2 linked regions of the Saccharomyces cerevisiae S288C genome follow. Changing the gene in region 1 together with any one later gene gives a genetic interaction. Each region holds a gene or a part of one and is shown on either strand. Other genes may lie near its edges. The genes, in order: GDE1 and GPC1.

Region 1 (3,933 bases):
TCTACAAGCAAGATATAGCGGTGTTTCATGTAATTCGTTGTCTTGATAATTAATATCAAACCTTTTTGATGATAGGAGAACATGTAAAAGGGGATAGTTATTCCACTCAGTGGCCAAATGTAACAAACTTGAACTTTTTAATTTCACGTTCGGATCCAAAGATTGCAATAAGACTTCTGTTGTTTTGGGATGAGCACCCAACACACATAAATGTAAAGGTGTCAATGATTCGGCATCTCCGAACGCGGAAACGTCATCAATAGGGATTTCATTCCAGATATTCCATTCTTTCATTAACTTGATAATCAACTTCGTAACTTCAGATAAGCCATACTGGCAAGAATAATGCAAGGGCGTTCTCTTGTAATTATCATGCTGAAAAAGGCATGGTCTTAAATGAATTGGTAACTCCTCTAAAATATAAGAGAGTGTACAGGCCGAACTTTTTTCCTCCTCTGTAATGCTATCTGATTCTGCCGGGGCAGATAGGGTCGTATGCAGGGTTCTTAAATCTGTTACAATTTCTCCCTCACTATTAGTATATTTTGAGGGTTGTGACTTCTTTTTCCTACTTAAAATTTCCTGTTTTCTGATTAACTTCCCGATTGCAATTATGTGATGATGGAAAAAATTTCTTCTGTTAATATCTTCCGAGTCATTTAGAGACGGAATAACCTTTAAGATAGCATCAATACATGCCAGTGATTTAGACAGTGCTGCCTTGTTTAAAACACTTATCATAATTCTTGTTGGAATCAAAGACAATTCCGAATATAGGTTTGTTAGCTCTCTAATCAATCCTTTGCTATCATCTTCTTCTATAAAAACGCAAATAATCTTAAAGAATTCTGTATTATCATTAGCATTTGCGTTCGGCGAGGTACTCCTCATTACTCTCTCGTAAGAATTTATCCTGAACGTCACTTGTTCCCAGATAGTTTTTAGCAAACTCAAATCTTTGGTAATAAGAGAATCATTAGCAAATTGTAACGGCAAGATTCTAGTTTTCATAGTTGACATTTGCTGATTTGTGCCGACTTTTTTATCCAGTTTCTTTAAAATCTTACCAAAAGCTCTCTTATTTAGTTCAGCGTACCACTTTAAGTTTCTAAATTGTTTTCTTAACTCAGCTAAGATAGACTGAATTTCAATTAAGTCATCTTTATGGTAAGATAGACGGCTGGCTTGACTTGTTCCCTTTAAAAGCATATTCATCTCTCTCGTATCCTTTGTGAGTAAGGTTTGCGCTACTGCATCTTCTTTGTTGGCATCGACCACTAATGTTGATTTTATCTCATTGAATTGATTAGAAGAAAGCAATCTCTCAAATCTTTTCTTATATTCCGCATACTGGGAATTGTAAAATGTATCAACCTTCTCAATATCCCTGTCAACTGCAAAGAAAAACGACGCCAATAACTTTTGGATTTTTGGAGAGTCCAAATAATTTTGAGCACTATTAGATGAATCTCTCATTTTTGTTGGTGGCCTGCCTTCATCATAGCTATTCTTGTTATGTGCCCTATATATGTCTTCTTGAAGTCTTGTAATTTCTTTAATCATTTTCTTCAACGACTTGTAGCCAACATATTGACTTGACCACTCTGGAATGCGATGATTGGCAAAGGTTTTTCCGAACTTCATTGATTATATTGTTTGATTATATAAAGACCTTACAGTTTCAGTAGTTTGTCACCTTAGTTGGAGATAGTGGCTATTTTTGTGTAATTTGATGAGGGTTCCCTTCTTAGTTGGGTTTAAATTTTTTGCTACCGTTGCCTTATTGTTCAATGAAGCACTAATTGCAAAACTTAAACTCTTTAATAGTCTCACTTTGTAAGACAATAATTTATTTTTTACTTCTGTCAGCCAACGCTCTCTTTTTAATATAATGTGCACGTTCTAAAAATAATTCTCTTATTCAGTTGGCGCTATTAAGTGAATTAGAAACGTTTTGACGAAATTTACTATTAAAAGAACACTACGAGTCGATAATGACAGCACTGGTCTAAATTTCAGCTAGAGCAACAGCAAATTATTATTTGTCACTTAAATAAACTTGGTCGTTTTTTTGGAGAGCTAATATGTTGGGACAGCGTGTGTAACATTGCTCCACCTGCGAACACGTGGAAGTCGCAATTATAAAAGATGCATAAAAAGAAAGAATATTAATAATTAGGACACAATTGATCAGTCCTGACAAGATCGTATATTTGCTTCATCGAGAGATGCATTAATTGACGCACTTCTAAACCAACCCATATCTTGAGCATTGATAATGTGCTTGCATCTTTCAAGAGACTTTTGGCTTCCCGCTTAAACCCGAATTCACGTAATATAGGCAGCGAACTGTTTACGAAGAGAAGTTACAAGATGTGGGTATTTTTGTTAGTAAAAGAATTTCTTTAGTAGCAATAAAAAGCAAAAAAAAGCAATAGAAAAGGGTTTTAAAAAATTGATGTTATTCTTTAAAACCGTTAATCCATGCGTAAAATACGAACCTTTCAAATAAGTCCAAGTTTGGATCTAACTGGCGTCCAATACCCTCTAGAAGTAAAATAGCGACCACCACGGAAACAAAGTCGGACTCCATTCTAACATGGTGCGACCTTACCATACTAAGCATTTGATCGAGTAAATCGCCAATTGAGACGGTTCCCAATGTAAATGTTCTTTGTTTAACTTTATCCACTAGCTTTTCTACCTTAAACGCAAATACTTCCTTATCAATAGCTGTTTCTGGAGTTCTTGATCTCTCAATCATCAACTCACCAGCTCTATAACCATCAAATCGGGCCAATGCGTTGAATAGAGCTATGAAATTAATTCTGTTTTTTTCATTCAATTCTGTAATTATTCCTGTATCGATAAAACAAATTTGGGGAGTGTAATTAGTTAATACAGACTTCAGTTTTCCAACAAAGTCCTGATCTTGGTCCTCCTCTATCTTCTTCCTCAGGTCGTGCGTTATTCTGTACGATTCAAGTTCGGAGGATATAATGTTTGTGCCGTATTTGTTCGTCTTCACAAATCTGATTATAACATTGCCTGGATGCAAATCAGCATGAACAAAATCATCAAGAATTAGCATTTGTAGAAACGCGTCAACGAAGGGATCACTGACTTTTTTACAAAGTTCAACGTCGTTAATTTGCTTCTTCGTAGATAAAAACTTTTCCATGGAAAGACCATATACATGCTCTTCGAACATAACATCCCTATTTGACAAGGGGAGAAATGGTTTAGGAAATTTCACCTGAATAGAATTTTTAAAGTTCTCATTGAATCTTTCCAGGTTTAACGCCTCAATTCTTAGATCCAACTGAATATTCATTAATATGGAAAACTGATCGACTTCGCTGGGTAAAGACAGCCATTCCATAGTCGGAATCCAATTTATTGCGTCAGCACAGAATTTCATTATTTTCAAATCTCTCCGGATCTGAGATCTTACATTTGGATGCAAGATCTTGATGGCACACCAACGATTTCCATCCTTACCAATTTGTATATTGTCATATTTATCGATGTACTTTTGGGATAGTTCACCCACGTAAACTTGTGCGATGGACCCAACTCCAATTGGTGTTCGATTAAATTCATCAAAAGCATCTTCGATCTTGTCAACCTTTAATGCTTGAGAAAGTTTTTCCAGAGTAAAGCTTAGAGAGTGAGCTGTAACGTTACTATGCAATTTACCCAACTCATGACACAGTGCGTGAGAGAATATATCGGTTCTCGATCCTGCCCATTGTCCGAGTTTAATGAAACTCGGGCCAGCCAATTCCAATGCTTTACGCAGTAGTTGACACCAAATCAATGAACCTCGAGTTTCAGTTATATTGGTGTCCGTAATTTTGAGTTTATGACCAAACCATGATATGGGGTATAATAGGAGAAGAGGTAAAAAAATAGCTGAAATTTCTAAAAACC
Region 2 (3,933 bases), on another chromosome or scaffold:
GGTAAATTTAGGACGACTGTACCGTTTCTGAAAATGGACCAAAGAATAAGAATAGCAAAGGATCAGAAATTTGCCCATCTAATGGTTGAATTCTTCACAAAGCAAGGAAAGTATTCGGACGCAATAGCTATCATATTGTCTTCAAAAAATCGCTTCAATTGGACTTATTCCATGGTTAGGAATTTGCATAAAGCATTAGAAGAAATCGAGGATAGAAATAGCGTTGAAATCTTACTGGATGTAGTAAACAAAAAGTCACACGCAAAGGCCCTGAAGTGGGAGGAACAAGAACTTAACATGTAGTCATTAGACTAAAAGTGATTATATATCAAGAAACGACATATACGCGTCCATGCATGCACATATATATATATAGTAAAGCGCCTGTAAATAAAAGCTCTCAAAGTTAACAGATAAATGAAGTGAACTATCTTAATCACTCTTTGAGGATACACTTGAAGAGTCGTCAAAATCTTCGTCACGGTTGACATTCAAGTAATCCTTATCATTCACGGAGGCATCAGATATGACTGCATCAGAATCAGGCTGTAACTTTTGTTGTAAATTCTCAACTTCAAGACGTAATCTATCAACTTCTTTTTCGAAATTCTTCCCGTAGTGGTCGATATAGTAGGTAGCCCCATTATGAGACGCCCATAGAAATACTATAGTTAAAAATAGGGCCGCAGCTAATTTGTAACGAATCCATATGCCACACAATAGCATAGTGAATAGTTGATAGAAATATTGAGAAAGTGTGTAAATTATCATCGGCCAAGGTGACCTTAATTTAACTGCCCAAAAGTTTTTAAATTGGTGTGTGGTTAAATATTCAAAACTTGTCATTCTTTCCCCTGACTTGATCTTGCTAGACTTTTTCAACGTGATGAAGTAATGGTATAATGATTGCCAAACCAAATAATAAAGGGATGTCCAAAGAATATTTTTTTTGATGTCCAATTCACTTTGAATAATTGCTCCCGGAAACCTTTCGATTTTGTATTCGAGTGGTAATCCATGATAGATGACGTACATGACACAGGGAGGTATTATGTGAATGAAGCATGAAGTAGTCTTATCTATAGAATGTATTACCAAGGAATTTCTCCAAGTAATAACGGCAAAGCATAACGTTCCGAAAGTGAATGCAAAACATGACTGGAAAAGGCTGTATGAATATGGGAAAATCCAAATAAACAATAGGCATAGCATGTTCACAAAGTAACAAAAATCAGCCAGAAAGTAGTGGTTTTTGGTTTTATAGTATGTGTAAAAACGTATGGGCATCAGAACGAAGAACAGGATGGTATAGTAAACATGAAACCATTCTGGAAACCTGCCCATCAAAAATCCGATGAAAAATATATTAAACAGTGTGAAAGGGTAAAATGCTTTCTCCAACCTTGAGCTGTTTTTGAAAAAAATGGAATCCAAGGGTTTATCCAGATTCCTAATTCTTTGTAACGCTCTTACTTTGAAGTCCTCTAATTGCAAGAAAGAGCGACTTCTATTCAGGTGATGTGGATGATGACTATCATGTTCATGATGGGGTTTACGTCTTCTAAAACCCTCAAAATTTCGCAATTTCTGTTCTGCTTTCGAAAGATGAGAACCATGGTAGTATTTTGAAACTACTTTTGAAGCGATCGGGTCGAGAAATTCTAAAAGGCTCGTCAGTGAAACAGAGTTATTCGTTTCATCGTCAATGTCGTTATTGTCCAACTTGTACATTACGATAAAGATAGCGATGAGTGCCACTCTAAATGGTATCACAATGTGGAGATAATTTTTTGTTAAATGGGAGCTTTTATGATGTCAAAGCTTCTCTATTGAATATACCTTATATTACTATTGATATATATTTGTTATCCGCTAAACCCATTTAGGGGTTGATATGTCTAAAAAAAGCCAGCATTTGATCTGCTTGTGAATATTCGGCGAAGTCACACATAATGCGAGATAATTTTCAAAATTATAATGCCAAACCGAAATACAGCCATACGTAATTTGGTGGCCTAATATGCCTGGTGTGCTGGATAAGATATTATGTTAATGAAATATTTGTACGTACATCCGTTTGTGCGTATGTATATGTGTGTGTAAAATGTACATTGTCCAAGCTTTCCACAACTCCTATTATCGCTAGTGTTGGCAGGATTATTTGTTTGAAAATAGCATATATCTCGTTATGTGAAACTTTGCCAAACAATATTCCTTACAACATCCGTGCATACTCTAAACCCAATCACTAATTTTCAATTTTTAAAAACTTTATACTCTGTACTGCGGCAATTAAGGCTTTCGCGTCGTTGAGCGCGCAACACTACCGGGGGTTCCTTACCGTGAGCCTGCGCCTCTGTAGGAGAATGTAGAGGTTCCCGTTGAGGGAACTCCAGCCATGGGTTGACGGGAGTTCCCGTTTGGCCTGATTGCTCTTGCGCAGTTGACATCTAGCCAGAAACAGTAGTAGTGGGAGTTGATATTACCAATATTTACAGGTAACCTATATTGATTAACTAAATTATAGGCGTTTAAATTTTTGGGTGGTCAACAAAAGAGGCGAGCAACAATTTGAATTGAAACGTATGTCGCGTGCCCATTAGGAAATGAGAGAATATTGAGGACAACGAGGAGCTTCGCAGTGTAGGAATTGAGAAAGAAGCGACCATTTGAACAATGCTGAGGTTAATAAGAGGCCCACGATAAAGGCGTTATATTAATCAACGTTGAACATCTTCCCAGAAAAGTACATGCGAATAAATCAGGACCGTCGAAAGACGTACGGAACATCATTGGCAAATATACATCGGGATCTGTTGGATATGCTTGTCGTGATGAAATACTGTTCTCGTTGTCGGCTTGATAAATTTTCTCCCATTTAAAACTCTTTGAACCAAAATTGTGTACTAACATCAATTTGTATATAAACCATGAGTGTATTTCACCTTGTGGTTTTTCACAGCTTTTTAATTTAGAAGAACAATGAAGGTTGAAGTTGATTCCTTTTCCGGCGCTAAGATCTACCCAGGTAGAGGTACTTTATTTGTCCGTGGTGACTCCAAAATTTTCAGATTCCAAAACTCCAAATCTGCTTCTTTGTTCAAACAAAGAAAGAACCCAAGAAGAATCGCTTGGACCGTCTTGTTCAGAAAGCATCACAAGAAGGGTATCACCGAAGAAGTTGCTAAGAAGAGATCTAGAAAGACCGTTAAGGCGCAAAGACCAATCACTGGTGCTTCTTTGGACTTGATCAAGGAAAGAAGATCTTTGAAGCCAGAAGTTAGAAAAGCTAACAGAGAAGAAAAATTGAAAGCCAACAAGGAAAAGAAGAGAGCTGAAAAGGCTGCTAGAAAGGCTGAAAAGGCTAAGTCCGCTGGTGTCCAAGGTTCCAAGGTTTCCAAGCAACAAGCTAAGGGTGCTTTCCAAAAGGTTGCCGCCACTTCCCGTTAAGATAATTAACTTTTGTTAGTTTTTTATTAATAATATATCATTACAAGAAAAATGAAATAAAAAAATAAAAACGTGATCCGTACTTATTTTTGTGTTAAGTATCAAATAATATAATATATAAAAGACCGTGATACAATAGAAATCTGCGTTACGTTGAAAACGTCATAAAGGTATCTTTGGGATGAGCAGTTGTTATTGTTCATGATCGTTACCCGGCTTCAAGTGGATTTTCACGAAGCCTATGGGCTTGACATTTACATGATATCACATCTTTAAGAACAAGGGAAAACCAAAGTTAAAAAGTAGCATAAATTCCTCTTAGATCGCTGCAAGGAGATTAGATCTTCCCTTTCTTTTTTGAAATTTTCTTTTTTGGTCTAGAGTTGGGGTGATGATGGTACCCAGGATTAGTGCTTCACCAGTTTTCAAGAGGATATTTCTTCGATGGGGATTTGTAACTTTACCCATACAGAAAACCGTATC

The links.
Region 2: of GDE1 (region 1) and GPC1, changing one enhances a phenotype caused by changing the other (phenotypic enhancement), as found in Saccharomyces cerevisiae (one study listed by BioGRID).

What each region holds. Positions count from the first base shown.
Region 1 is NC_001148.4:343,096-347,028, forward strand, and holds the start of GDE1 (glycerophosphocholine phosphodiesterase), read right to left. Parts: upstream 1,645-3,933; coding exon 1-1,644. Other genes in the region: CQD1 (Cqd1p), read right to left, coding at 2,169-2,349, 2,502-3,933. UniProt on the Saccharomyces cerevisiae protein: Glycerophosphocholine glycerophosphodiesterase responsible for the hydrolysis of intracellular glycerophosphocholine into glycerol-phosphate and choline. The choline is used for phosphatidyl-choline synthesis.
Region 2 is NC_001139.9:786,829-790,761, reverse strand, and holds GPC1 (glycerophosphocholine acyltransferase), read right to left. Parts: upstream 1,732-3,933; coding exon 433-1,731; downstream 1-432. Other genes in the region: CCM1 (Ccm1p), read left to right, coding at 1-303; 60S ribosomal protein eL24 RPL24B, read left to right, coding at 2,983-3,450; NAT2 (Nat2p), read left to right, coding at 3,842-3,933. UniProt on the Saccharomyces cerevisiae protein: Glycerophosphocholine acyltransferase (GPCAT) that utilizes acyl-CoA to acylate glycero-3-phosphocholine (GPC), forming lysophosphatidylcholine (LPC).